Linked DNA regions of Drosophila melanogaster. Each later gene encodes a partner of the first gene's protein in a complex. Each region holds a gene or a part of one and is shown on either strand. Other genes may lie near its edges. The genes, in order: Nprl3 and Sec13.

Region 1 (15,684 bases):
TGATATTGCGTTGTTGTCCGTCGTTGTATGTTGGATATTGAATTCTTTGGATACGGTCTTTCCATAAACGATATTTCGTTGTATCTGCAATGAGTAAAAATATAACTATTAAATATAGGCCATACAGAACTATTAACAATAAAAAGTACCAATTTAAAAATTAATTCTTAGCTGTTTTAAACAAAAACGTGGTAAACAAACAAATGTAAAATAATGTTAGAAAATAATTAAAGCAAAAAATTAAAACAAGGATGCATATCTTCGGATGTAAAGTTCAGATTTTATTTTCTAGTGTACCACGGGTACATTGCCTTTATCGATAAAAGTTAAGGAGCTCATCTCTATTATCCAGGAGTAGCATTGCCAACTGCAAATCAGATTTGAGTTATGTAACAAAATAAAAAGCACAGCACTGCCAACGGGCGCCAAAAATACGCATGCGCACTTCAAACATCAATATCCGCGTTTATTCTACGTATGTATTTTCGTCTACGCTTTCGGAATGTGCTTCGTGGTGGCTGCTGCACTTGCTGTAAACTTGAACGCAGCATCACGGAGCGGAAAAGTGGAAAAGCAGCGAAACAGCAAAGCAGAAACAGTGTGAAAGGTGCGCCAAAGCTAAAGCAACAAAGGGATTGTGCATTGTTTACACTTGTGTGCGTGTGCCTGAATACGTGGATGTGTGTAGGTGTAGTGTGACCCCCCTGGCCAATAAAAAAAAGCACTAACAACGTTTAGCACTTGTTCATTTGGCTTTTGTGGAAACAAGTTTTCCTATTTTGCTTTTGTTTATCCGCATCGCTGAAAGGCTAATGCAATTTTCCAACGCAATATGCGTCCCAAATCAATTAATAAACATTCGACTATTTTACAAGTTTGCTAACTTGATAAGCTTTGTAAAGGTTAAGATATTACATGTTCTTATACTATGGAATCTACTATTGGGTCACTAATAAATGATTTTTTAATAATTTAAAGACCTTTCATTTTCTATCATTGGAATCAATTTACTAAACGTTTTTAAACGCTTACACCTCAAAAAACGACCGTCTCTGAAAGATGTCGACATTTGCCAAGTACTGCCACTGTTCTCTAATTCTCTAATTTACTGCACATTCCGGGCGTTTGCCCCGTCATTCGCATTGCAAAGCAGAGAGCCAAAGCAAAAAAGCAAAGCGGAGCGAAAAGTGAATGCACTAATTTCGCCTTGGCATCCGGCGCGGCATTCATCGCTAGTAGTTTTCTTCTTCTTGTTTTTCTGTTGTCGTTGCTTTTGTCGCTGGCTTTTTAGTTTCTTGTATCTATTACACATTACACAGGCCACTTGCACTTGGGCATATCTGCCATATCCCACCTGCGTGTGTGTGCGACTGCTTGTGCGATTGTGCTGGCAGCCAATTTGCGCCTATTGTAGATACAGTTTCTAATTGGAATAGAGAATGGGGAGCAGCGCAATTGATTCCCCAATTGAATAGTAAATCTGGGAACGAAATGCTTATGTAACCATTGGGTTACTGCCTATAGATTGTGGGATACAAGATGCAACTACATATGTAAAGGCCACCACCAGGTTAATCGATAAAACTGATTTTTCAACTTCAAGCTGCGTTTTGATAAGCCAGGATGTTGAGCTTAGAACTCTTTGATAGTGACTGTGGTATGCATTTCTCATTTCCGTTACATGTTTTGTTTCATATTTCTCAATGGGCCACAAAAGATAACGCCACACATAGAGCGGTTGGGGCTGTCGTAAATTTTGATTTGGGTTACAAATACACACACTAGCATCGACGCTACATCTCAACATTTAGAAAGAATCTTACAATGCTCTTAGTTAAAAATACACACGAAAGAGCGAGGGGCGAAGGAGAATTTGGTTCGCTCATCGTCGGAAAGAAGGTGAACTACACTCACACACACGCACGTGTGCGGGACCAACCCTACCCCAACCCCAACAAATACTACAACAACAACAACAACAACATCCGCAAGTAAAATGCGCGCCATAAACAAATTACACACAAGCTCACACAATAAGCCCCATTCGCGCGCATTATCGGTTCGTGGGTGTGAGCAAGACAGCAGCAGATCCCCGTAAATCGTGCCTGCAAATGCACGTTGAAACTTATCGCGAGCACACAAACACATGAAAAGTGGCCACGGTGCTTTCGTACAGGGGCGGTTCCAAGGGGGTTCATTTGGGATATACATATGCGCCAAAATCTAATTCATTATATCAACAAAATATTATCGAAAGAATTAAGTTTTGTTTGCTGTTTTCTTTAAATTCCGAGAGCTTCCCCGCAAGCAGGATTTTTAATCCGCCACTGCTTTCGTGTCGTTTTTGTTGGGGATTTCTTTTTGTTGCTATGGCTTTTGTTGCATCGCTAGATGAAGTAGAACAAATACAAAGCTTATCGAGGCTCGCAGACGCACACATCTAAACGAGTGAGTCGAAAAGAGAAAGACTCCTATTGTGATCTACGGAATAAAAATGAACCTACAATTAAAAATAGTAATGCTGCTCATATTAGCTTGTTGACCAATGGACTACGTGACTGCACAATATCAGGGGCATTGCTTTGGCTGTACTTTCATTGAAACAGTCGCCAAGCGTAAAATGGGTTTTAGTTTTTGCATACCAGCTACAAAGTGTCAACTTTAATTGCGTCTTATTTTAATTCACTTGCTCGCTAGTTCTGGTCCGTCTAATTCGGTCAATTACTAATCAAGAATTGAGACTGCATGGGATTTTATTATGGATATTACACCATTAAAAAAATCTGTGGGGTTGGGAGGTGGTTTTAGGGGGTTGTGGCGGTTTGGTTTCGTTCCGCGACAACCTTTGAAATTATCGAATGGCTTAGCTTTCGCGAAATAATATTTTGACGATGGTCTTGTCTGCGCTGCGCAGAAAATAACGAAAGCCGAGCGCAGGCAAAAAGTTGTCTATCAACTTTTGCTTTCATTTTGTGGCGAAAATTCGCGCGTACAAAGCACAAGGCATAAATAACAATTGCAAAAATCACGTATGCGCAAAGAGCAGAACAGGAACATTCGAGCAATGCCTGTAAGCGAGAGCGAGACCACCATAGCTCTCCCCACACACACACTAACACTTAGCTATGTTAACTGCGGCCAACTTCACGGCGTACAGGCGTGTAAACGCTGGAGCACGCAATAAAAAGTTTGACGAAAACAGGGCGAAAGAAAATAAAATAAAAACTATATAGCTCTGTGCTAACATTCTGGATAATGGGAACAACATGGCGTCGTCGATATCGTTCAACTAATTCTCATCAACTTTAATTTCACTTTGCGGTCGATTTGTTGTTAAGTTTTTCCGACTAGCTGATGCGCATGTCAAAATTTTGGTAGAGACAACAAAAACACTGCACGGCATACACATTGCAATCCAAATGCGGAGGGGTGTGCCAAATCGAAATATGATTTTAATACTGATTTAGATAATCTCCTTAGAAACTCGAGCAAAACAAACTAAAAACAACTTGAAATTTAACAAAACAATTGCTTCGGGTTGGCAACTCTGTGCGAGGGGCATAATACGCACATCTACCTTCACGTTGCACAAAACGGAATCGAAAGCAAAACAAATGAACCCGCAAAGCTGTGCGAGCGAGCACGCTATACTGACGGTTAGTTGAAAAAAGAATATGCAATCAAATATGGCGACACACAGTATGCAAAAAAAAAAACCATACAAAATCGACGCATCAACAAATGAAATATTTATTTAACTGGCTCGACTCAAAATAAAATCTGAATTTCATATATATGTGATCCAATAGATATGTATAACCCATTCGACTGTATATTTTTCGATTCAAAATATTTCCGATTTGGGCGCGCACTCACATACAAACACACACACTAGTTTTACTCACCGTTTACTCTGTTATTTTGAATTTTCACTTCATTTTGCACAACTTAATTTAATTTAACGACAAGCTACGTGGTTTATTTTTTATTTCGAAACTTTATATTTCAATTTTATAAATACAAATTAAATTTGTATACACTTTAACACTGGTTCTTTTTTGTTCCGTTGCACATTGTTGATTTGCAGCATTTAAGTGATGGCGCGACGTTGTTTCGAACGTTTACTACCTGCACAAATTAAAATGTTTCTACTTTGATTAATCAATTTTATTATTATTAATACCGTATGGCACAAGAAGCAGAAGACAAAACGCGCAGGAAAACACATAAACTGGGATTGCTTAAGACGTGTGTAAGAGCGAGACGACCAGTCGGTTTGAGCAGACCATATAGCTAGTGTGACCGTTCTAGCCTATGGACAAGACATGCCAACTGACTATTATCGCCTATTTTATTTTGTTCGCCTGCCCTGCTTCTTCTTCTTGGTTTTTGTGTTGCGCTGTTTCCCTGTTTAGCCTATTACTACTGCGCCTGGCCATTCCGAAATGCTGTACGTACATATTTCGATTTCGCCTTTCCGCCTATTCGTTGATACCCACACAAACGTATATCTGTGCATGCCTTTCTACGTAGGTATGTGTAAAATCTATACACACGGATGTTGGCGCACATATACACAAAAAGTAAAATAGTTATGTTATTAACTATTTAACCACAAGCTATTTACATTTTAGGCACTTATTAATCCTATTTTCCAAAATACAAGGAATAGATACAGAAACGAAGACATAGTAGAAAAACAAACCTACAAGTAAATGACAATTAGTTGAAATTAACTTATTGGCCACCATACTGCCGAAGAGTGCGAAACTAATTCAGAAGCGAACCACTCAGCCAAGTAAACTATATTTTTTTGTAGAATTAGTTATACCTCTCCTACACTCACACAAATATTATATATATGTATATATAGACCGCGGCTAGTACACGTTTAGCGTCGTCTCGCTCCCACCTACGATCCGCACGTATTTTGCCTCTCACAATGTGTGTGTTTTCCTCTTTTCCAACACGCTAATAAGAAATCGTCATTTTTAAAAGTGCTTTTACAGCCAAACTAACATGTTTCACAGGGGAATTTCATAGTTCTGCGATTGCCGCGTTCGCATACTACGCTCCCAGTTATTTTCACAAATTTTTTGTTGACGTTTCGAGCACAATTTCCACACGTTTTGCTCACAACTTTCCGCTTCTAAAAAATTAGAGACTGACCAACCGAAGACGGTCACACTACAGCGGAGCGATAGATCGTTATCGCTCGACCAGGGATCCTATACTATTAGCCTTGCCGATATATATTTATTTATATAGTAAGACCGTTTTTCGTTTAGTATTTTTTAGTTTTTGAATATATTATCTAAGGTATCTATGGTAAATTTAAACGATTTAAAAAAATTCCATTGCGTTGCATTTATATTATTGTTTCGCCTGCAAAATGAAAACTGACATGACTACTATTTTAAATAAGTTTTTGGTATTTTATGCAAACTAAAAGAGAGCCACACTGCTGTAAATATATTTTATATTTTACATTTATTTACTTTGCTTCCATTTCTCAATGAAGTCAAATTGAGGTACTAATAAATAAATAAAGAGTTGTTGAGGTAGTTTCTGTAGCAAACTACGATTTATAAAGTATTTTTGAAAACATAGCCAACTATTTGTTGACCCTGACCCCAGTTGATAATGCAAATGTTCATATTTTAATTTACATAAAAGGGGAAGTGTCTGTGTGCCATGGAAACTAATGTGAATCCCCTGGCCGTAATCCTGGTTTACTTCGATAGCAAGGGGGATCGGTTACTGTACAGGTATCCGTACCAGACTCTCGGCCAAACGGAGGTGGCCAACGACGAGCAGCGGAAGTCCAGGTACTACCTATTAATTCAAAGGGCACTCAGCTTGACTATACCGATTTATTCAATCACAGAAAGCGCAATCCCTATGCCGTGGCCAATACGGACGATCTGCTGCAGACACCCACCCACTTGGGTGCTGCCAAGAGCCAAGGACAACTGCAGGGATTCGCAGATGAGGTCCTGTCCGCTCTGTTTGCTGTTAAACCACAGCTATGCAACCAAAAGTTTGAACTCAAACTGAACGACGTACGCTTTGTCAGTCATCCCACTCTGATACCGCAAAAGGAGCAGAGAAGTGGTCCAATGGCCAAGCAACAGATGCTCATCAACATTGTTTTTGCGCTGCATGCACAGGCCAGCTACTCGATTGTTAAGTGCTACCACGAACTGAGCAAGCGCCTTGGACTGGCGCTGAAGTTCGAGGAGCAGCGCAGTGGCTATCTCACCGAGCAGACGGCTCAAATGGCTCGCACACACGACGAGCAGCAGCAACAGCCGCTGGAACGCACACTGGAGCTGATTGCAGAGCGCTGCAGCTTGGCACAGGCCTTGCGCTCCATCTTCCATGATCTATGCACCACTGGACTGCTGAGTACCTCGCTGAATCACAACCTAACGTTGTGCTTCTGTCTGCCCGCTAAGGCACACCAGCTCCATAAGAAGGGCAGCATGGTGGATCCAGAGACCATAGATCGGTGCCTTCGTGCACTGAAGCCCTATCATGGCATGTTGCTGCTGGTCGACTTTGCCGAATTGTTGGACTGCGTTCCACCGACTGGGGCACGCATGCTATGGCAGCTAGTCGACGTCTACGACCCACTGATCAGTCTGCAGAGCATGTCCTCCAATGCAGACTTGAGTATCGAGCATGTTTATAAGCTCGTCTCGCATTTGGTCTACTGGGCTAAGGCAACTATTATTTATCCACTCTGCGAGACAAATGTCTATGTGATCGCGCCGGATGCACCATTGCACACCAAGTCCCACCTGGTGGAGAAGTTCTCGGCCCGTTTTGCCGGTATGTCGCTGTTCGAGGTGATCTCCGATTTTTCATTGCCCACTTCAATTGGACACTTAACCACGCCACTGCAGCAGCCAGCGCGACAGGGTATCCTCGCACAAATGGTGATTTGGATGCTGCAGCACCATTTGCTCATGCAGTTGCACACGTACGTTCAGTTTATGCCCAGCGAGGATGAATTCGGAGATTCGGCCTCCTGCAGCAACCATCTAAGGGATGCCATTAGCGATGAAGAAGGAGACCAAGAACCAGATGCGGACGAGTTGCATGGCTCCATGCTTAGCATGTCCAGTCATCCGTTGCCAGTGCCAGCGGTATTGGTGGGCGGACATCGTCGTGAGGCGTCCGAGGACCATTCATCACTGGCCTCGGACAACATCGCCGTGCAGCCATCATCCAGCCACAAGTCCAATTTCAGCATCACCGCCTCGATGAGCACGGACAATTGCGACAGCCTCGATTCCATGGAGGATGAGCAGAAGCTGAAGGAGCTGCTACAGGTTTTCAGCGATGCGGATCGAGCCGCCATCCGTCGAATTCCCGCCTCTGCCAACGTGGATGATCTATCTCTGCTTGTGAAGCTGTATCAGATGGGTTACTTTAAGAGCGAGCATCATCTGGAGGAGATCATGTACTTCGAGAACCTGCGACGTTCGCAACTGCTGCAATTGCTTGATAAATTCAGGGATGTGCTTATCATTTACGAAACCGAAGATCCTGCAATTGCATCCATGTACAATACCAAGTAGAGTTTGGGACGAATTTGCATTCCTAGATTTTAATGTTGAATGTTTTTGTTTAGTTTTTGAATATAATCTATAAAATAGGTATGCATCTAATTTTGTAAAGTTTGCGAAGCAAATCAATTTACGCTTGTAGACTACATATTTTGTTATTTATTTGTACAAGCAAGTTCTTAAGTTCAATTCAATTATTGTCAAACTATGTTTTTCCGTGATTTCATACAAATTCAAAAAATTACTCATATTCAAAACAGCGTTACATTTTAAGCTTCGCGCCCATTGTACAGCTTTAAGGTATATCGATAAGTGGGGAATATTCTGATGCTCTAAGAGCCAGATTAAAATAAAATATTTAAAAAATACGAAAAACCCATTTTTAACTTAAAAAAACAACTTTAAATCATAAATCAAAGCTGATAAATTAATAAGATGCGAAGCACAGCTGATTATTCGGTATTTTTTTGTTGGTATATTCCAGTGATTGGTATTTTAATAGTTGCATTTTGTTGATATTGTATATTTTTGATCCTGCCTACGAAACTCTGGAGCTCGGCCACGATGGACATTTCGCAAATGTGCCGCGTTTGCAGGGACGAATCCGACTGCCTGTTGGATATATATACAGAGCCATATGCCTCCTCCAATCGGGTCCAGGAGCAGGAGCCGGTCTTGGCCACAATGCTGAGGGAATGCAGCGGATGCAGCGTGCATAAGGAGGACGGAATGCCGCAGTTCATCTGCGTGGAGTGTGCGGAGGCCGTAAGAAATGCCTATCGGCTAAGACGGCAATGCCGAAAGAGCCATCAGTACTTTGAACAGCTGCGTCTGATGATGAAGGAGCTGGACGATATAGAGTATTGCCTGAATATAGGGGATAACATAGAACCACAGATGCCGGTCTCGGTAATGGAAGCTGGTAAAACGCCGGAGACATCCGAACCTCTTTTAGTTGAGCTTGTGCAGGTTAAGTACATGCCTCCAGAGCCGAAGCCAATATCTTCTCCTCTTCCAGACAACAATGAGCATAAGCTCGCGCAAAGTTATTCTCCAGCAAAGACGCCACACAATAAGTCCAAGAGGAGGGCGAGATCCTACTCGGACAATGACTCATGGAGCCCGGATAGTGAGCTTGAACACGAAGATGATGATAAAATCTGGAACGCCTCAAAACGGGGCAAACCGAAAAGGGTTCCCGGACCATATCGGTGCAAGCTCTGCACACAGTCGTTCACCCAAAAACAAAACCTAGAGATTCACATGCGCATACATACTGGCGAGCGACCCTACAAGTGCTCCCTATGTCCGCGATCCTTTGCCCAGAAGGGCAACCTGCAGAGCCACACACGTTGTCACACCGGCGAGCGTCCCTTCGGTTGTCCGAACTGCCCCAAGCGCTTCCGGCAAGTTGGGCAACTGCAAGTCCACACCCGGACTCATACTGGCGAACAGCCGTTCAAATGTTCCAAATGTCAGCAAAGCTTCAAGCAACTAAACGGCCTACAAAAACACATGTCAGCACACACGCGAGGGAAGCGACGGACGAGCAGCCAAGAAACAAAAAGAAATAAGTTTAAATAGTTAAGATTTGTTAAAGGTATTTTCATATATTGAATGTCCATATAATAATTTCTTGTTTGAAATCGACAAAGCTAGTAATCGCAACCAAAGTGAGAAAGCTGCTTAAAAACTGTTGTGAATCGATCCGATTATCATTTCTTTATTATCTTATTGTCAATATGAGAACATGAAATTGTTTTTAAAACTACACTCCATATGTACTTTCATTATTAGTCGCTAACTTGTTTCTACTTTAAAAATATATCGAACTTATTTTTAAAACGATGATACAAGATGATTAATTACTATTTTAGTTGGCTACATTTTGCCAAGCGTTGCCAAGGACTATTTAAGAGCTTTTCGTCTGGTCCTTGTGGATCCTTTGGTGTGGGTGCGCCTGTGCATGGTCAACTGGGCCTTGCCGGTGAAACTTTTTTGGCAGTCGGTGCATTTGAAGGGCCGCCTCTTATCCACCTCGTTGCGAGTCTCCTTCTTCGGCTGCTTATCGTTCCGGTCCCCATCGTCCTCCTCCTCCTCCTCCTCGCTCTTGATGCGATCCGTAAAATCCCAATCCTCGGCCTCCAGGAGATCGCATGTCTCCTTGTCGCTTTGCTCCCTCTTCACGCGCGCCACGTATTCCATGGTCCTTGTGTAGCGTCTCCTGAATCTCAAGGCCTCACGCAATTTAATAAGGCACGGTTCGCAAATTTTCAGCGGAAAGCCGTCCCCGGTATCCACTGGATATGCGCTGCAGATATTCAGCAAATCAGCCGGCGTGGGCTCCGGTTCCTTGGTTCGCTGTAGATCGTCGCTCAGTCTGTCCCCCAAGCTCTTGTTGTCGTAGATGTCTAGCAGGTCCTTCGGCTCGTCCATACACACCCGGCACATCTTCACCAATTCATCCATGGCTTCGTTGCTTCCTTCGATTCCAAGCAAATACAATTCAAAAAGAATAACTAAACTGTATCGGATGACCATCAAGCCAAAACAGAAAAATACCAATTGGCGCAATTCCAGGGATGCAACATCTATGCCAATAAATATGTATTTAAATTTAGACTTATTTGTTGTTATATCAAATTAACTTATAAATATATTATTTAAAATGAACAATTAATCTAAAATGAAATGTAGTAGCAGTGAAAATTGTAGAATCAGTTGAAAGTATTCTTCATGTTATATTTTTAATTTATTTTAATTGAAAAACTGTAAAACGGGTTTAATGTAAAAATTCAATGCTTTGCTTGCAAGTTTTTTAAATAAGAAGGTATACTTATTTTTAGAATCATTATTCAAAGTAAAGATTCTTAAAACTAATTATATGTTTAATTTAATATTGATGAAATTAAATGATTAAAATTTTTAAAAATGTAGCGAGTTTTTACTGTAGAAATGATTTCCACTACAAATGGCAAAGACCCCGATTCGCATAAAACTGTTGCAACTTGCGCAAAGTTCAACTGGTAACTGGTCATTGTCTTCTAGGCTTATCGGCTTATCGGCATGGAATTAACTTAAGAAACACCATGGACTGCGGAGATAATGACCCAAGCTAAACTTAGCTCCATTTCCAGCCAAGCGGAGCAGTGATAAGATTCAAAAGACTTGGATTACAAAAGAGTTTATGAAATGTATTGCATATTTAGCGCCCTGTGGGCGTAAAAATAAAAAGAGTACACAAAATAAGAAATATGTAGGCGGGAGCGGGACAATCTACATCTCCACATAAGTGGGCATGGTCATAACACCGCAATTGTTCTTCTTGGCCGACATCAGGATGTAGCCATCGTTGCCCCAGTAGGTGGACCACGAGTTCTTCACCAGCCAGTAGTCCTCTCCATTGATCGAGCCATAGCCCACGGCCAAGACAGCATGATCCAGTCCATCTACATCGTTCTTGCACGTTGGCTCATAGTAAACTCCGTGCGAGTAGAAGCTAAATGTCTTGGGAGAAGCATCAATGGCCACCGACAGAGGACCGTGCTTGAGCAGAGCCAGCTTGAAGGCATTTGGATCGTTGGAGGTCACATTGACGAATCCCTTAATAGGTGCCACCAGCGTCACGTTGTTGACGTGACAGTAGCCATCCTGGCCCAGATAGGGACCGTACTCCTCCTCCGTGGGCACTCCGCCGGACTGCAGCATCCACTGGTACACGCGGAAATCCTCGCCACCATCGCAGCCATTGTTGCCATAGGCCCACGAGCAGTCAATCAACGCCTGCTGGGAAAGCCGGACCAGATTGCCGCCATTCTTCAGGAAGAAGGCGCCCTCCAGGTGACCAATGGTGCCAAATGACCAGCACGATCCGCACACAGATTGATCTAAGGGTAGTTTACGTTTTAAGCAATTCAATATTATCAAATTCATCTAAGTAAGTACTTAGGGAATGAATGAACCCACCTTTCACCGGAGTGACAGCGCCGTATAGCCGCCAGTCGTACTGGTCGGGAATCTCGTCCTTGTACTTGGGCACATCATAGGGGAACGGTTTGCCGGTGTTGTAAATGCCCGATGATTTGTATCCTCGTCGTGCCTTCAACTCCTCTTCGGTCTTGTCGGCCAAGTGATTAACGGCCAGCGTGTAGGTGAGTTTGGCCCTGTTCTTTGAGTGGATGTAGCGCAGGTTCTGACGGAAGATGTTCTTGCGATGCTCGTGTTCCGTGTCGCTGTGATAAGCAACTCCGTGCTTGCGCTTGAAATGGTGGAAGGCCTTGTCCACATGCTCATCGGTTCCGGATATAAACTCCTGCATGGGATTGAAGGTGGCATAGTGACCGGTGCCGGGTCCGGGGAATCCGACGCACTGCAGGCTGTCATCGATCTCGAACACCTCGTTGGGAATATCATCGTGCTCGTAGCTGTCATAGTCCAAGTAGTAATGATCGTAGTGCGATCCCAGCAGGGTGTTATAGCCCCTCATCTCGTAGCGCACGGGAATGGGCATTCGGCTGGAGGGATAATGCGGCGACTTCTTGTACCGCACCCACAGCGTATAGATGTTCTTCTTTTGGCCAATTGTCGACTCCAGGCGGAACTTGTCGCACGTGTAGCCCAAAAAGGATTCGGTGCCCACCAGGCTGAAAGGTTTCGCATCGGGCAGGATGCTCTGAATATCGACAGCCTGGTCGGCGGTGCCATTCACCTGCAGACAGGTTAGCTTGTTGTTCTCCGTCTTGGTGGTAATCGGTGCCAGCTTCAGCAGGGTTCCGTACTGACCCTCGCCAGCCAGTTGGTATGTCTTCACCATTCCGCCGTAGTAATCGATGCGGGATCGCCTCGTATTCTTGTCATACCAGGCGTAGAAGGGTTCCGCAATCTCGGCGTACGGAATGTACAGGGTTCCTTTGACTATGTAGTTTGGATCCCATTTCGGCGGATTCGTGGCATTAGCTATTGTCGTTGGCGAAAGTGTGGAGAGATTCAGATGAGAAATGAGCGGGAACTTGACAATAAGAAACGGTAAAGGGCAGCCATCGAGGTTTAAGCTCACGCCATTGCTTATATACTTCGTATATATACAGCTGCGGTCAAAATAGCAGTACATGCCCTTTTACGTTTATTTGATCTAATTTAAAAGTTTAATAAAAACATGTTCTTTTTACTTTTTAAATATACTTCATGGCAAAAAAAATGATGATAAGCTAAAGTTTCAATCCTAAAACGATGACCTCGATTGTTTTAATATATGCATGTGTGCATTAGTTTAAAGCGCACACAAACGCAGAAACAATTACTCTTTGTTTGGCTAAACACTTTAGCATTCTAACGTCTATAACTCACCTGAGAAAGCCAAGCCTGCGAGCAGGGCTAAAGCTAAAAACACTTGCATTCTTGAGAATTCACCAGAGAATTGTCTGGAATATTAATTGATCCCGACTCTAGTATACTACCTATCTTTTCGAAGAATTAAACTGTTCTGCCGGCTCAATAGTCCGATTGCTTTAACAACAACTTTCTATGGGTGAGGAGATAACGCCGCCGTGAAAAACATCGGTATTAATCGGTTGAAGAGCTTTCTAGTTTGTAATAAGAGCTTATCAAAGTTCTTTGCTTTTTGTCATGGTAGTATTTTATTCTACAAATTATTCGCAATTCTATGTAATCCGTTAACATTTTCTTTTATTTAAGAATTTCTTTATTAGAAGAAATATCTTTTCTGTTCACTTACTGAAGAATTGCTTCTTTATTTTAATAAAATATCATGTGCTTCGATTTTGTAACTTAAGAGGTTTAGTTTGATTTTGCAATATTATTTTAAATATCGATAGCAATTACAATTTTTATTGCGTGCACAGGGTGCACATGATTATACAGATATTTTATACATCTAGTGTGACCAAAGTGCTGAGATTAAATGTTTTTTTTTTTAATTTAAAATATTGGATGCACTTCTTTCTGGCTAAGCTTTCAATAAAAAATAATCGAAAAAACCGCGAATGATCTAATATTCAAGATTAAAATAGAAAAATTTGTCAGAAAAAAATAAAACCGTGTCTAGGGATCAAAATCGGGATTGGAAAAATTCTATTTTTAAATTCGTTAAACAGCTGACAGTCAGGAGGTATAGATAGTCACTCATCTGTCTCATCACAACGACTCTCTCTCGGCTCTCTCTTCCCTTCTCTCTGTGTCTCAGCGATATAAAGTCTCACCCTCTCTTCGGAACTTGAACCTACTCCAAGTTTTGCTGCATTGCGCCCGCTCTCAAACCGAACCGATAGTCGGACAGCACGGGATCCCGAAAGGACCCCGAGCAGATGTCAAGCTACCACCGAAGGAGCAGCATCGTCGTCGTTGTCGTCCTCGCCCACACATCGTTCTTTACCGTTACAGCTGTGGGTTCGGCTCAGTACCGTTAAGTTCGCCAATCGCACAAGTTCGATTCCCAAATCGCATGGTTTTTTTATACCAGCAAGAACTAGACAACACACAGATATCTGGTAATGTTGTAAGACGTGGATTAATGCAAACTGCAAACCGTACAAGTGCGCCGTACAAGAAAACGCAATTAAAAGTGCATTAAAAATTAAACGAAAAGTGCTTGTGTGTGCGTGCCAGTGAGGCAAAAAGTTTTGCCTGCGCCGAATTGGCCAAAGTTAAATGTTTTAAACGCCAAGTTAGGCGAATTATGTGAAAGTTTTAACGCGATAGGCGAAAACAAAATGTTTCTGTAATTGGCGGCGGAGGAAAAGCAGTCCGAAAAAGGTAGCAACGTTGCTGAAAATGAAATCAAACTTTGATTTATCGCTGATTGGTTCCTGATTGGCTGTTTTGGCAGGCCTTTTGAATCCCCACACAAAAACAAGAACTCCCAGACGAACATACATATACATGATCCATCCACATACATAGGTACTACAATACAATACATATGTATGTACATAGCTGTTGGCGTTTATATGTATGTGTTTTTGGTTCAAATCTGTATAGTATTATGGGCATAGAGGAGCATTTCCTGCCCTTGTCACAGTTGTTACATTTTCTCTATTCCGCCGCTCACCAGCTCACACAGTCGGTCATCAAAAAGTCAACAAAAACAATATAAATTATGTTCGTGGAAAAGCACAAGCAGCAGGATGCTAGAAGACCTTGAATGCCTCTTAAGGTGTAATTGGATATTGACGTGGAACGAAAATTGCATTTTGAGCAAGGAATAAGAGCTTCTTTGTAAAAGGATTGTTTGTAATATGAAGCATATTTGTTTTGGCCTTTTAGTGGAATGAATGTGATTCAATATAAAAATACTTTTGACTTCGTTTTCTCTCAATTTTTAACAAGAAATAGTTAACCATTTAGTGTAGATAATCAAAATCCTATGTGCGAAACTAGAGAATCATTTATTTCTCCCTAAAAGAGAAATATGTAAATAGTAACGTCGTATCCATTTAAAAAAAGACTAGTAAATTTAATTTTTAAATAACATTTACCTAAATTCCTGGAACCAAACTGAAAGGCAAAACTTTCTTATTTATGAGCCCTTTTCAAAAGTTTGCCAAAAAACATTTTTTAATTTTCTCACGTTTTAATCTCTCGCAAAACTGGCGAATAGTTCGTTTTGGTAGCATACTTTTACGGGTCACGGAGTCCGTAACTTTGAATTTGTGGGAATCAAAATCTGTAAGGCCCAGCTGACTTGGGCCCCCAGTGAAAGACAAAAGCCAAACACACACACACAAACACTCATAGGCGCGCGCGCGTGTGTGTGTGTAACCAAAAAATTATAAAACTTTTATTACCTTAGAGCAGGACACGTTCCGAAGGGAAAAACGGAAAGTTCTAAAATATATTGCATATACGTATACACGTGCATTTGTGTGCTGCTCTCTCTCTCTCTCGCTCTGAATGTGTGCGAATGTTTTTGTGTGAATGTGATTTGTGTGCGTCTGCGGGTCCTCTTTCGCTGTGTGTAACCTACATTTTAAACGGCATCGGCATCGGCGACACATAAGAAGCCAAAAGCCGTGGCCGAAACCAAGTGGGCGGGAGTCTGGGGGCGGTGGGGCATTTCGGCGTATGTAAATTTGCCTTTATCAGTGCCTAAAAG
Region 2 (15,486 bases), on another chromosome or scaffold:
TTTTTTGTGTTGCTCTGGCAAGTGATAACAAAAATGGCAAATAATATGAAAATCGAGAGTTATATCAATCTGACTTATAAACATTATTCGCTATTTTACTTGATCGCTGGAATGAAAACGAAAAGGCGTGGGTGATCCTCAATCTCGCTATCTCTTTCGCACTCGCACTAGAGCGTGCATCATGAGCGCAAGAAAAAAATGGAAATCAGAATTACATATTTCGAGCAGCAAAAACAAAGTGTTTGCAGCGACAAAAAAATAGCAACAATTTATAAAAAAAATCTGCTTGCTCAGAACTCAGTGTAAGTGCGAATATGCGAGAGAGTGTGTGGGTGCGTGTATGTGTGTGTGTGTGTGTGTGCGGGCGATCGTTTTTGGCAAGCATTTAAACAGTGCCCAAAATCACTAGTATATTTAAAATATTTAGTATGCAAAGGGGGCGGAATAATAAAGACAAATATTTTAAAATTTGGCAGTCTCAGTCTTTCAATTGTGTACACTGATATAAAAATTTATTTATTTTGATTCTGGATTTTATACAAATCTATATTTTTGACAAATAAAGTAAATTGGTCAAAATATCAGTTCCAGCTTATTTAAAAGGAAAATTATACTAGTTTCTTTGTTATAATAATTAATAAAATATTTATTTAATATGAAATAATACCTATATGAAAATTTTGATGTGAGATTAAATTATCAACTTATTATTATCATTATTAAAGTTTGCACACAATGTGGGAAAGCTGCAGCTTGGGAAAATACTTTTGGACACCCCAAAAAAAGTTAAGCGCGATATTTTCCCACCGTGACCATGACAACCACTGTGCGTTCGAAAGGCTCTCTCTCTCTCTCTCTTTCGCGCAAATCAAAAACACAAACAGGTTTATGTGTGCGGAGAGTGTGTGCGACAGAGAGCGGCGATATGGAACTGAAACGACTGCAATGTTTTTATATTCCGGCAACGCATTTCGCATAAATTACAAATTACACAGCATAAGTGAATGCAAGTGCAGGGGCGGCAGTCAAATGGCCAGCTGCACCCAGAAAAAGGGCAATAAGATTCGGGATAACAAAACTTGATGGCGTTCCCGATTTTCCCGGCCAAGGGAGCGTATATGTACACATAAAAAAAAAAAACTTAACCAGCCTTGCATAACGAAACACGTGCAATAAAAATATGGCTGATTGTCAACCTCTGCTGCAACTTAATTGCTGCCGCAGAGGTAAAACTGAAAAACATAAAAGGGGGCGACAAGTGCAGCAAGCGAAAAAAAAGAACTCAAAGAGCGCATGCGCGCCGCTCTCCCACTCTCTCTCCCTCTCTCCACTGCGCTGGAATCTTACAACTCGTGTAGGTGAGCCGGATTTTTATGAATGAATGCGCCTGTGTGCGTGACTGCATGATGCCATTGCAGCGGAGAACTAGTAGAAAAAACTTCACATTTCAGCAGTTGGAAAACACATGGCCAACAGGCCAACTCAATTGGCCAGCAGCTGTCCTTAAATTGTCAGCAAATAGGGCATTTAATGCCCATTACAGGAAAATTATAGCTAAAATGGTCAAGCTGTGATGAAATAAACATAAATATTATATTTTATGATTTCATCAGATTTTAAGCATTATTTTTTTAATTTGTGTTAGGTGGAACTACAAAGCTAAGAATAATTGAGGATTTCTAGGTAAAACTTATATTCTTAAAACCATTTAATAATTTTCTTGTTTTCTTTTATTTGTAGTAACATTTTGAAATTGGCGCCAAACGTGTTACTTTACAGTGCTGTGCAACAGCTAAATGTCAGCATTCTCTGCAACGCGTTAGCACATTTCTGAGACGTTTGCAGATTTTTGGCGGCAACAAGTTATTTACATTTATTTATTTTATTTCTGCTAAACAGCACGGAAATGTCCGACTCCAGCAAAGGCAAAGTGCTGCAAAATACGGGTAAATTCGTCAGCGAGAATCGCACAGAAGGGTGAGTGGTCAAAGTTCGTGAATTTCACGCTGAACAAGATATTTTCCAATCTTATCCACAGCGACGACTTCTTCAATGAGGCGGGCTATCGTCAATCCCGGGAGAACGATAAAATCGACTCGAAATATGGCTTCGATCGGGTTAAGGACAGCCAGGAGCGGACGGGCTACCTCATCAACATGCATTCGGTAAGTTAGGAAGCCCATAAAACGTTGAAAATCATGTCCAATAATGGCTATGCCAATTGCAGAACGAAGTTTTGGATGAGGACAGAAGATTGATTGCTGCCTTGGACCTGTTCTTCATCCAAATGGATGGTTCCCGCTTCAAATGCACGGTGGCCTATCAGCCATATTTACTCATCCGACCAGAGGATAATATGCATCTGGAAGTGGCGCGATTTCTGGGTCGCAAGTATTCCGGCCAGATTTCTGGACTGGAGCACATAACCAAAGAAGATTTGGATCTGCCCAATCATCTATCCGGTTTGCAGCAGCAGTACATAAAACTTTCGTTTCTCAATCAGACAGCCATGACCAAGGTTAGAAGGGAACTCATGTCCGCGGTGAAGAGAAATCAGGAGCGACAGAAATCCAACACATACTACATGCAAATGCTGGCCACCTCGCTGGCCCAATCCTCCGCAGGTTCCGAGGATGCCACATTGGGTAAGAGGCAGCAGGATTACATGGATTGTATTGTGGACATAAGGGAGCATGATGTGCCTTACCACGTCAGAGTGTCCATCGATTTGCGCATCTTTTGTGGACAGTGGTACAATATCAGGTGCAGAAGTGGCGTGGAATTGCCTACGATCACCTGCCGACCGGATATTCTGGACAGACCCGAGCCCGTGGTCCTGGCCTTTGATATAGAAACCACTAAGCTGCCCCTTAAGTTTCCCGATGCCCAGACGGATCAGGTTATGATGATCTCGTACATGATCGATGGTCAGGGTTATCTGATAACCAATCGTGAGATTATATCATCCAATGTGGACGATTTTGAGTACACTCCCAAGCCGGAATTCGAGGGTAACTTTATAGTATTCAACGAAGAGAACGAGATGCAGCTGCTCCAGCGCTTCTTCGATCACATCATGGAGGTGCGTCCCCACATCATTGTTACATACAACGGCGACTTCTTCGATTGGCCCTTCGTGGAGACGCGTGCTGCAGTGTACGATCTGGACATGAAGCAAGAGATTGGCTTCTCCAAGCTACGGGATGGCAATTATCTAAGTCGCCCTGCCATACACATGGATTGCCTATGTTGGGTGAAACGAGATTCTTATTTACCTGTTGGATCTCAAGGCTTAAAGGCGGTGGCCAAGGCTAAATTACGCTATGATCCTGTGGAACTCGATCCGGAGGATATGTGCCGCATGGCCGTGGAACAGCCCCAAGTGCTGGCCAATTACTCTGTATCCGATGCGGTGGCCACATACTATCTGTACATGAAGTATGTGCATCCATTTATCTTCGCCCTAAATACGATTATTCCCATGGAACCCGATGAGATCCTAAGAAAGGGTTCCGGCACACTCTGTGAAACGTTGCTGATGGTGGAGGCTTACCATGCCCAGATTGTGTATCCCAACAAGCATCAGAGTGAGCTGAATAAGCTCTCCAACGAGGGACACGTACTGGATTCGGAAACCTATGTGGGTGGTCATGTGGAGGCTTTGGAATCGGGTGTTTTCCGGGCGGACATACCATGCCGTTTTCGTCTAGATCCTGCTATGGTCAAGCAACTGCAGGAGCAGGTTGATGCAGTTCTGCGCCACGCTATCGAAGTGGAGGAAGGCATACCGCTCGAGAAGGTCTTGAATCTGGATGAAGTGCGGCAGGAGATTGTGCAGGGGCTACAGGGTCTGCACGATATACCCAATCGCTTGGAGCAGCCGGTCATCTATCACTTGGATGTGGGTGCCATGTACCCCAACATTATTTTGACCAATCGCCTGCAGCCCTCGGCAATGGTTAGTGACTTAGATTGTGCCGCCTGTGACTTCAACAAGCCAGGAGTTCGGTGCAAACGTTCCATGGACTGGTTGTGGCGCGGCGAGATGTTGCCCGCCTCCAGGAACGAGTTTCAGCGCATTCAGCAGCAGCTGGAGACCGAGAAGTTTCCACCCCTTTTCCCTGGCGGACCACAGCGAGCCTTTCACGAGCTCTCCAAGGAGGATCAGGCGGCGTACGAGAAGAAACGTCTGACGGATTACTGCCGCAAGGCTTACAAGAAGACCAAGCTAACCAAATTGGAAACGCGCACTTCGACCATCTGCCAGAAGGAGAACAGCTTCTATGTGGACACGGTGCGAGCTTTTCGCGATCGTCGCTACGAGTACAAAGGACTAACCAAAGTGGCAAAAGCATCGGTGAATGCTGCGGTGGCTTCGGGAGACGCGGCAGAGATCAAGGCAGCCAAGGGCAGGGAGGTGCTCTACGATTCCCTGCAGTTGGCCCACAAGTGCATCCTGAACTCCTTCTATGGCTACGTGATGAGGAGAGGAGCCCGTTGGCATTCCATGCCTATGGCCGGCATTGTGTGCCTCACGGGCTCGAATATTATCACCAAGGCGAGGGAAATTATCGAGCGAGTTGGTCGACCACTCGAATTGGACACTGATGGTATATGGTGCATATTGCCTGGCTCCTTTCCGCAGGAGTTTACCATTCACACGAGCCATGAGAAGAAAAAGAAGATTAACATATCATATCCGAATGCAGTGCTAAACACTATGGTTAAAGATCATTTTACCAACGATCAGTACCACGAGTTGAGGAAGGATAAGGAAAACAATCTACCCAAATACGATATTCGAGATGAGAACTCTATATTCTTCGAGGTGGATGGACCCTACCTTGCCATGGTGTTACCCGCTGCCAAAGAGGAGGGCAAGAAGCTGAAGAAAAGATATGCGGTCTTTAATTTCGATGGCACACTGGCTGAACTCAAGGGATTCGAGGTGAAGCGACGCGGTGAACTGCAGCTGATCAAAAATTTCCAGAGTTCCGTCTTCGAAGCTTTCCTCGCTGGTAGCACACTTGAGGAATGCTATGCATCTGTGGCCAAGGTGGCGGATTACTGGCTTGATGTACTCTACAGCAGAGGATCAAATCTACCCGACTCGGAGCTATTCGAACTTATTTCGGAGAACAAGAGCATGTCCAAGAAGCTTGAGGAGTATGGCGCCCAAAAGAGTACGTCCATCTCCACGGCCAAGCGATTGGCTGAGTTCCTGGGCGAGCAGATGGTAAAGGATGCGGGTCTGGCTTGTAAGTACATTATTTCGAAGAAACCCGAAGGAGCACCCGTCACCGAGAGAGCTATTCCCTTGGCCATTTTCCAATCCGAACCGAGCGTGAGGCGACATCACCTGCGTCGCTGGCTTAAGGACAACACCATGGGCGATGCGGATATACGCGATGTGCTCGATTGGAACTACTACATAGAGAGATTGGGTGGGACCATTCAGAAGATCATAACCATACCGGCGGCACTGCAGGGACTGGCCAATCCAGTGCCCAGAGTTCAGCATCCGGATTGGTTGCACAAGAAAATGCTGGAGAAGAACGATGTGCTCAAGCAGCGTCGCATCAATGAGATGTTCACCAGCAGACCCAAACCGAAACCTCTAGCCACAGAGGAGGACAAGCTGGCCGATATGGAAGATTTGGCTGGTAAAGATGGCGGTGAGGGTGCTGCAGGCTGTCCGATAGTCACCAAGAGAAAGAGAATCCAGCTGGAGGAGCACGATGACGAGGAGGCACAGCCGCAGGCCACCACTTGGCGTCAGGCCTTGGGCGCTCCACCGCCCATCGGTGAAACCAGAAAGACCATCGTTGAGTGGGTGAGATTTCAGAAGAAGAAATGGAAATGGCAGCAGGATCAGCGCCAGCGTAATCGCCAGGCGAGCAAGCGAACTCGAGGCGAGGATCCGCCGGTGGTCAGAGCAACAGGATCCACAGCTACACTGGGCGGATTCCTTAGACGTGCACAACGCACCCTGTTGGACCAGCCGTGGCAGATCGTACAGTTGGTGCCCGTCGACGACCTGGGCCACTTCACTGTGTGGGCCTTAATCGGCGAAGAGTTGCACAAGATCAAGTTGACGGTACCGAGGATTTTCTATGTAAATCAGCGAAGTGCAGCTCCTCCAGAGGAGGGTCAACTTTGGCGCAAGGTCAATCGAGTTCTGCCACGATCCAGACCTGTTTTCAATCTCTATCGATATAGTGTGCCCGAACAGCTCTTCCGGGATAACTCGCTGGGCATGCTGGCGGATCTGGCGACGCCCGACATTGAGGGCATATACGAGACGCAGATGACGTTGGAATTTCGCGCCCTCATGGACATGGGCTGCATTTGCGGTGTCCAGCGCGAGGAGGCACGTCGCTTGGCCCAATTGGCCACCAAGGATCTGGAAACATTTAGCATCGAGCAGCTGGAGCAGCGGCCCCAGACTCAGGTCAAATATTTGGCTAGCGCCAACAATCGATTGCGCAAAATCTACTTGTATCAGCATAACACACCGACGGCCAAGAAGGAGATCTGGTCACTGATCCTAATGCCCAGCAAGAAGGCATTTGTTTTTGCCTTGGACACAGTGCGTGCCAATCAAATGCCGAACATGAGGCAATTGTATACCGCCGAGCGTTTGGCCCTGCTCAAGAATCTGACGGCAGAGGAGCAAGATAAAATTCCTGTAGAGGATTACACATTTGAGGTTCTCATTGAGGTGGATGTCAAACAAATTTACCGGCACATACAGCGGGCACTGACCACCTACAAACAGGAGCATCAGGGACCCACCATTCTGTGCCTTCAAACGGCGCTGTCGGCGCGTAAACTCAGCCTGGCCATGCCGATCCTGCTGGAGTTTCCCCAGGCTGAGATTCATATCTCCGATGACGCTAGTTTGCTTTCTGGCCTTGATTGGCAGCGACAGGGCTCCAGGGCAGTGATACGCCACTTTCTGAATCTGAACAATGTTCTTGATTTGATGTTGGATCAGTGTCGCTACTTCCATGTGCCCATTGGCAATATGCCGCCGGATACTGTGCTTTTCGGAGCGGATCTTTTCTTCGCTCGCTTGCTGCAGCGGCATAACTTTGTGCTGTGGTGGTCGGCGAGTACCAGACCAGATTTGGGTGGCCGGGAGGCGGACGACAGCCGGCTGTTGGCGGAATTCGAGGAGAGCATTAGTGTGGTGCAAAACAAGGCCGGTTTCTATCCGGATGTTTGCGTGGAGCTGGCTCTGGATAGCCTGGCGGTGAGTGCCCTGCTCCAATCGACTAGGATTCAGGAAATGGAAGGCGCCTCATCTGCCATTACGTTCGATGTGATGCCGCAGGTCTCGCTGGAGGAGATGATTGGCACTGTTCCGGCGGCCACCTTGCCGAGTTATGATGAAACGGCCCTCTGTTCCGCCGCCTTCCGCGTTATGCGCTCCATGGTGAATGGTTGGTTGCGAGAGGTATCCATCAATAGGAACATCTTCTCGGACTTCCAGATCGTGCACTTCTATCGATGGGTGCGCTCCAGTAATGCACTACTCTATGATCCTGCTTTGAGAAGATCTCTGAATAATCTGATGAGGAAGATGTTCTTGCGCATTATAGCCGAGTTCAAGAGATTGGGCGCCACCATTATCTATGCGGACTTTAACAGGATTATCCTTAGTTCGGGTAAGAAAACCGTTTCCGATGCCCTGGGCTATGTGGACTACATTGTGCAAAGCTTGAGGAACAAGGAGATGTTCCACTCCATCCAACTGAGCTTCGAGCAATGCTGGAACTTTATGCTCTGGATGGACCAGGCAAATTTCTCGGGAATTAGGGGAAAGCTACCAAAGGGAATCGATGAGACAGTGTCGTCAATAGTTTCCACTACCATGATACGGGATTCTGAACGCAATCAAGATGACGACGAGGATGAAGAAGAGGATTCGGAAAACCGTGATCCAGTGGAGAGCAACGAGGCCGAGCAGGATCAAGAGGATGAGCTGTCCCTGGAGCTCAACTGGACAATTGGCGAACATCTGCCCGATGAAAACGAGTGCCGCGAAAAGTTTGAATCCCTGCTGACCCTCTTCATGCAATCTTTGGCTGAAAAGAAGACCACCGAGCAGGCCATCAAGGACATCTCACACTGTGCGTTCGACTTTATCCTGAAGCTGCACAAGAACTACGGCAAGGGCAAGCCGAGCCCGGGCCTAGAACTTATCCGCACTCTGATCAAGGCGTTGAGTGTGGACAAAACGCTGGCGGAGCAGATCAACGAGTTGCGCCGAAATATGCTGCGTCTGGTGGGGATTGGTGAGTTCTCCGACTTGGCTGAGTGGGAGGATCCCTGCGACAGTCACATCATCAACGAGGTCATCTGCAAAGCGTGTAATCACTGCAGGGACCTGGATCTCTGCAAGGACAAGCATCGCGCCATGAAAGATGGAGTGTGAGTTACACAAACCAGTACACATAATTTACCACAAATAATTGATTAATGTTGGATTTTTCAGACCCGTTTGGCTGTGTGCCCAGTGCTATGTGGCCTATGATAACGAGGAGATCGAAATGAGAATGCTGGATGCACTGCAGCGCAAGATGATGTCCTATGTGCTGCAGGATCTGCGCTGTTCGCGCTGCAGCGAGATCAAGCGCGAGAATCTGGCAGAGTTCTGCACTTGCGCTGGCAACTTTGTGCCCCTCATCAGCGGGAAGGACATCCAGACACTGCTGGGCACATTCAACAAGGTGGCTGCCAACCACAAGATGCAGTTGCTCCAGCAGACTGTTCATCAGGCGCTGACCACGCCACGCTAGGACCTAGTTTGTTGTTGTTTTCTAGATCGTAGGGCTTAAATATATTGTATTTATAATGGAATTTAATTCGATTTTAATGAGTTTTGAGTTTATGATGTCGCACAAGACGAATGTCTGTGTTAAGGAATGGACGCGCTTTATAATTCAATGAGATTCACACACTTTTAGTGGCTTTCGCATACGAATCGCTTGTTGTTTTCCCGATTTTATTGGTTTTTTTTGTTGACTTGCCCGCGGTTTTTGGGGGCGCACAGGCGAAATCAGCAGCTGAACTTAAAGCAATTAGACTAACTCATTCGCGAAGAGCGATCTCTACTGTGGGGCCTGGGTGATGGGATCGACCTTAACATCGGGGAACTGGAATTCGGGGAACTTCAGCATGTCGGTCTTGCCATCGCTGCCAAACTGCTTGGCCACACGGTCCAGTTCGGTCTTCAGCTCCCGCTCAATATCGGGATTGGAGTCCACCAGCTTGCCACCGCTGCAGGTGAGCAAAACAAGGATTATGTCGAGGCACACCAACGGATGAAGGAGCCAGAACTTACGCGCTCTTCTGCTTGTACTCGCGCACTTTGTCCAGGAACAGCTGCTGGATGGGATCGGAGGCCTTGTTCAGGGCAGGGGCAACGATTCCGAAGTTACGACGGGCCTCTGTGCGCAGGACACGCATGCCACTCAGCAGGGATTGCGACAGCATCTGGAATTGATAGATCCTTGTTAGAATAGCAATAAACGGCCTTCTTCATATGTAACCTTAAAAAGGTTATGTAATACAATTGTTTGTTTCGACGTTTCCCAATCGGTTTTCAAGCCGACTTTGCTAGCAACTTTATCTTGTATTCAAATTGTATTCCCTCAATCAATTTTTATGTATTTTAAATCTTGTTTTCACCTTATTTTCCTTTGCAAATGCTAACTTTCGTGCGGAAAAGTTACAATTGTCAGTTCACAATGGCAGTTGGTGTTAGTGATGTGCGCGTGATGGGTGTATGCGATACTATTGGACGTAAGCTTTTTAAATAGTAAGGGTATTTCCTAAGCTGATTTTTTGCTTTATCCTGTATTTGTCAGCTGTATCATATAGATTATATTCGTTGCGAACAAGAATTTTAATCAACAATCCGTTTAAATTACTTGCCTCTATCGAAATACAGCCTATAATAAAAATATTACAAATTATGAAAAGCTAATTTATACACTGTGTCTGTTTATGTATCTTACTATACATGTCCAACTTAAATCAAAACTGCTCCATAAACGTTCATACCAAAACACCACCTAAACTGTATCTAAAATCCCACACAAGCCAAAACCCGATCTAAATTGAATATAATTAATAAATTCTTGTTTTACTATAATATGAATATGAATAATATGAATATGAACTAAAAACTTTGAAATTATTCTATCTCATCTATGGACTAGAGTGACCATGTGATCAATTGCAAGTGTAACCATCAGCCACTGCCGCGCTCAGGTCACACTGCTCAACCAGGTTCCACGTCAAGCGCCGGAAAAAAACACGACTTGCATTTAATCAATTTATCTGGCGACCGGACGAACGGATTTCGAGCAAGATGGTGAGCCTGCTGCAAGAGATCGACACCGAGCACGAGGACATGGTCCACCACGCAGCGCTGGACTTCTACGGCCTACTGTTGGCCACCTGCTCCTCGGACGGCAGCGTCCGCATCTTTCACTCGCGCAAAAACAATAAGGCGCTCGCCGAGCTCAAGGGACACCAGGGACCAGTGTGGCAGGTGGCCTGGGCACATCCCAAGTTTGGCAACATACTGGCATCGTGCTCCTACGACCGCAAGGTGATCGTCTGGAAGTCCACAACGCCCCGGGATTGGACTAAGCTGTAAGTAAACGGGCACACCCATACCAACAAAGTTATGTTTGTTTTAGGAATCGACCAGGGGATACCCATTGTTAGGACCTTGATTAATAATAATACTTTAATAGCTTGATCCTTGATTAATAATAATACTTTAATAGCTTTGGAAATCATTATTTTAATATTTATGCTTGGACGTCTTGTATCAAATGTAATTTATCATTTATAATTGTTTACATCATGGTATTGAAAATATTTAACAAGAAGAATCAGATCTTGTTATAATAAATATATATAAATATATATATATGTTGGTGTCCTTTAAATTGTTCCCTCTGTCATAACACAATAAAATACTCTCTTATTGACGAGATTACGAGGTAGCAATGCGCCATGTCATACTTATGTTTAGATTTCCGTTATCATTTAAAGAGTGCCACATCTAACCTCTGTGCTTGCCACATTTCAGCTACGAATACAGCAACCACGACTCCTCGGTAAACTCGGTGGACTTCGCGCCATCCGAGTACGGATTGGTGTTGGCCTGCGCCAGTTCGGATGGCTCGGTATCGGTGCTCACCTGCAACACGGAGTACGGTGTGTGGGATGCCAAGAAGATACCGAATGCGCACACGATCGGAGTGAATGCCATCTCGTGGTGCCCCGCCCAGGCACCAGATCCAGCATTTGACCAGCGCGTAACTTCGCGTTCGGCGGCCGTAAAGCGCCTAGTGAGCGGTGGTTGCGATAATTTAGTGAAGATTTGGCGGGAGGACAACGACCGCTGGGTGGAGGAGCACCGACTGGAGGCGCACTCGGATTGGGTGCGCGACGTGGCCTGGGCGCCGTCGATCGGATTGCCCCGCTCGCAGATTGCCACGGCTTCGCAGGATCGCCATGTGATTGTGTGGAGCAGCAACGCAGATCTATCCGAGTGGACCTCGACTGTGCTGCACACATTCGACGATGCCGTGTGGAGCATCTCGTGGTCAACCACCGGCAACATTCTTGCCGTCACCGGTGGGGACAACAATGTCACATTGTGGAAGGAGAACACGGAGGGCCAATGGATCCGCATCAACTACGAGTCGGGTACGGCCATCCAGTCGAAGCAGCCCTCGCACCTTCCGCATTCCCACTCCCAGCAGCAGCAGGCGCTACAACAGCACCAACAACAGGCGCCATCGCATCCAGGTCCTTCCTCCGATTCGGAGCATAGCTCGAACCTGTCCAACTCGCAGCTCTCCAACTGAGCCAGCCCCGAAATATTGTCGTGCTGAAGTCGTGGTTAAAAGTGTTACTTTACAAATATATATATACGAAATACTATTTAATGTGCCCCTTTAAACGCTGTTTAGTGTATGTTTATTTGGACTTCATATGGGATCCCTATTTGAATCTTCTGAAATTATAATGAATTCTAAAGACAAGTTTTTGTCGAAATGGTATCATTTTTTTTAAGTTTTATCAAATATATTTGCAAATTGTAAGTAGTATGTATTTAAAAATAATAGTATAATAAGATTTAAATAATTAACCAAATTTTATTCAAACTTATTATTTTTAACCATACAGATAAATTCCAAAACTAAAATTTTTACACAATTTTTGAATGTCACTTTAGGTTTGTGTACAAGCTTGTTGTAATCTAGTTTCCGAACCATGTCTGCCTAGTACTACTGTGAATCAATTTAAGTAAAAACGAGGCAGAAACAGCAAATAGCTAAAAAACATTTTAAATTAATGAATATTAAAAGTAATTAAAATAAATTGTTTAATTCAGTAGTGTATAACTGTAATTTTTGGAAACCAAATTGGTATATAGTGGTATTTATTTCCAGACCGGGTGGTATTTTTTAACGTGTCTCGCGCGGGCACACTGGCCTCTTTCTTTTCTGCGCACCACGTTTCCGATTCGACGTCAAAATGAATGCGAACCTTCCGATTTCCAAGAAACGCAAGGTAATTGGGGAAAAATGAGACAGGATTACCTCCGGCATGTAATGCAGTGTCCGTACGTTCGTTGTTTCATCGGAGTTGTGTGAAAAACCCGGCCGGAAAGCGCGAAAATCCATCGGCTTCGGAGTTAACCTCAAAGCAGATGGGCGTCCCAAAAACTTTGGAACTCAACAACGCGTGGTGAAACAACAACAACAAGAAGGAGGATTGCTAGGTGTGCAATAGATGTGGAATGCGGATTATAATGGTTTCTTTTTGCTCCCCAGTTCGTTTCCGATGGCATCTTCAAGGCTGAATTGAACGAGTTCCTGACTCGCGAACTCGCCGAGGATGGCTACTCCGGCGTGGAGGTCCGTGTGACCCCCTCTCGCACTGAGATCATCATCATGGCCACCAAGACCCAGCAGGTGCTGGGCGAGAAGGGCCGTCGCATTCGGGAGCTGACCGCCATGGTGCAGAAGCGTTTCAACTTCGAGACCGGACGCATTGAGTTGTACGCCGAGAAGGTGGCCGCTCGTGGCCTGTGCGCCATTGCCCAGGCTGAGTCGCTGAGGTACAAGCTCACCGGAGGACTGGCCGTCCGTCGTGCTTGCTATGGTGTGCTCCGCTACATCATGGAGTCGGGAGCCAAGGGCTGCGAGGTCGTCGTGTCCGGCAAACTGCGTGGTCAGCGTGCCAAGTCGATGAAATTCGTCGATGGCCTGATGATCCATTCGGGAGATCCGTGCAACGACTATGTCGAGACCGCCACCCGTCATGTGCTCCTCCGCCAGGGAGTGCTTGGTATCAAGGTCAAGGTCATGTTGCCCTACGACCCCAAGAACAAGATCGGCCCCAAGAAGCCGCTGCCCGACAATGTGTCCGTTGTGGAGCCCAAGGAGGAGAAGATCTACGAGACGCCCGAGACCGAGTACAAGATCCCCCCGCCCAGCAAGCCACTGGACGATCTGTCCGAGGCGAAAGTTTTGTAAACCTAGTTTTACTGTTCATCCAATGAGCGACTAGCTGAAAGAGTTGCCCTCAAATACAACAAAACAACAGAAACAAAACAAAAACACATAATAATTCAATAAACAAAATCAATAAGTAATAACCCACTTGTGCAGTGCAGTGTAGAGTGCGAGGGTCAAACATAAAGTTGTGTCTGTCCGATATGCAAACCTGTTTTCCAAAAGGAAAGGATAGCTTTTGAAACTCAGGCTAAAAATAGACTTAGTCCCTCACCACCTCGCCACTATGATTAATAAATATGAAACAGTTTGGCCACAAGAGTTGCTTACCTTCCCATTTTATCAGAATAGGAATGCTTAATTTGAACAGATTTAAAAATTAGATGAAAATTTCAAAAGCATTTATAAATAGTTTGATATAAAATGTAATGTTTGAAGAGTAGAGATCTAGAGTTTTATCAGCATCTGTCTTAAATCCAGGGTATCACGACTTCGGCTGTGCCAAATGCATCTTACATTCTGGTTTCGCATTTTATTTGCATTTCTTGTGAAGCGGAAATCAGCGATTAAAACGGCTCACATTTTGTCCAGTTGTCTGCTGATTTATGAGGCTGTCCTTCGGGCAACATGAGTGTGTGTCCGGTGTGTCCGCGAGTTTCTGGGACCGCTGATGATAACCCGCTCCTCTTATTTATCATGTTGATATGTTTATTTCCCAGCTGGCACAGTGACACGGCCGCAGGGCAATTGCAGCGTGAAAATCAGCAATCGTTCAATTTATCAACATTTGCGAGATTATAACAGCCAGCGCGGGAGAAAGAGATACTTTTTTTTTTTTTTTTTTGTATCTTTTGCGCTCGAACTCGAGTTCGTGCCCGTTTGGAGCGGCCTGAAATCGCAGCTGCAGCACACGATCCTCGATCCCGATGACAAATGGCCACATGCAAGACTCCTCCATGCCCGCTGCCTCCACCTTCAGCCAGATGATGAGGAGGTGGAGCAAATTTAGGAGGAGGAACTGGCGGCTTGTCTCGGCGGCATCACGCATCAAGTTGCGATTTGCGCCATAAATCTAAATTAGCTGGCTGGTGGTAGGAATCGGCGCAGTTCCTGGTTGCACTATGGCACTATTGCTATGCATTACCTGGCTCCTCCACTTGCCCCAATCAATTAGGTGCACATAAAAGCAGACGAAACAAATTTTGCTGGCCATCTCGCGCGTCTGTCTGTGCGACTGTGAGAAATATTTTCCCAGCCGCAATTGTTCTGTCCATTGTTGTAGTTGCGGTTCATTTCAACGCTGGCATAAATCATACAGAACCTTTTAAACACGACTTTGAACGTATGATTTCAACACAATTTGTAAATAAATTAGATCGTGATTATGGCAACATCAATATCGCCAGCAACATCAGCATCTGCAGCAGCAGCAACAACAACGGGCATCCCCGCAGCAGCAACATTATTAACCGGCCAATGTGTTGTGGCATGTGTGGCAGCCATAGCTCTCCTACTAACTATATATATATATATTATAATGGCCATAACAACAAAGCGAAACCAAAACAAAAACCCGACAATTGCCGTCAACAAGTCTGCAAGAGTCGGCGGCAATGTGTTGCTGGTGTTGCCAGTCCATGTTGCAGTTGTGCGCCAGAGTGCAACATGCATATTGTCTGTCGAGGCTGCGCAGGTTCATAACTCGCCTGTCAGCTGCCAGGCTCCGTTCTGACAAATCCAACTAGAGATCTGGTAAGTCACCAGCTTTAATGCTCTAGATAACTGCCTATTAAACCAAATACAATTCAAAGTGCTAGCTCAAACCTCAAAGTGAAGTGTTAGCAAGATTTTCATTTAAGCCCTGAAGAATCGCGTTTCCTACTTCCGATTCGTAAGTTTATAAATCCTTTTTTTTATCCCATATACACCCCTA

What was found.
Region 2: Nprl3 (region 1) and Sec13 share a complex: the UniProt entries of both Drosophila melanogaster proteins name them as parts of the GATOR complex.

The regions. Positions count from the first base shown.
Region 1 is NT_037436.4:13,991,637-14,007,320, reverse strand, and holds Nprl3 (nitrogen permease regulator-like 3), read left to right. Parts: upstream 1-5,440; 5' UTR 5,441-5,531; exon of another isoform or gene 5,532-5,676; 5' UTR 5,677-5,694; coding exon 5,695-5,828; intron 5,829-5,887; coding exon 5,888-7,586; 3' UTR 7,587-7,941; downstream 7,942-15,684. Other genes in the region: CG17359 (uncharacterized protein), read left to right, coding at 8,139-9,158; CG17361 (uncharacterized protein), read right to left, coding at 9,483-10,115; CtsK1 (cathepsin K1), read right to left, coding at 10,851-11,461, 11,541-12,530, 12,921-12,969. UniProt on the Drosophila melanogaster protein: An essential component of the GATOR subcomplex GATOR1 which functions as an inhibitor of the amino acid-sensing branch of the TORC1 signaling pathway.
Region 2 is NT_033777.3:23,346,285-23,361,770, forward strand, and holds Sec13 (secretory 13), read left to right. Parts: upstream 1-9,993; 5' UTR 9,994-10,381; coding exon 10,382-10,668; intron 10,669-11,113; coding exon 11,114-11,897; 3' UTR 11,898-12,247; downstream 12,248-15,486. Other genes in the region: PolE1 (DNA polymerase epsilon subunit 1), read left to right, coding at 1,907-1,977, 2,039-2,165, 2,228-8,436, 8,501-8,804; ATPsynCF6 (ATP synthase, coupling factor 6), read right to left, coding at 9,117-9,285, 9,350-9,501; RpS3 (ribosomal protein S3), read left to right, coding at 12,571-12,606, 12,870-13,574. UniProt on the Drosophila melanogaster protein: Functions as a component of the nuclear pore complex (NPC) and the COPII coat. At the endoplasmic reticulum, SEC13 is involved in the biogenesis of COPII-coated vesicles.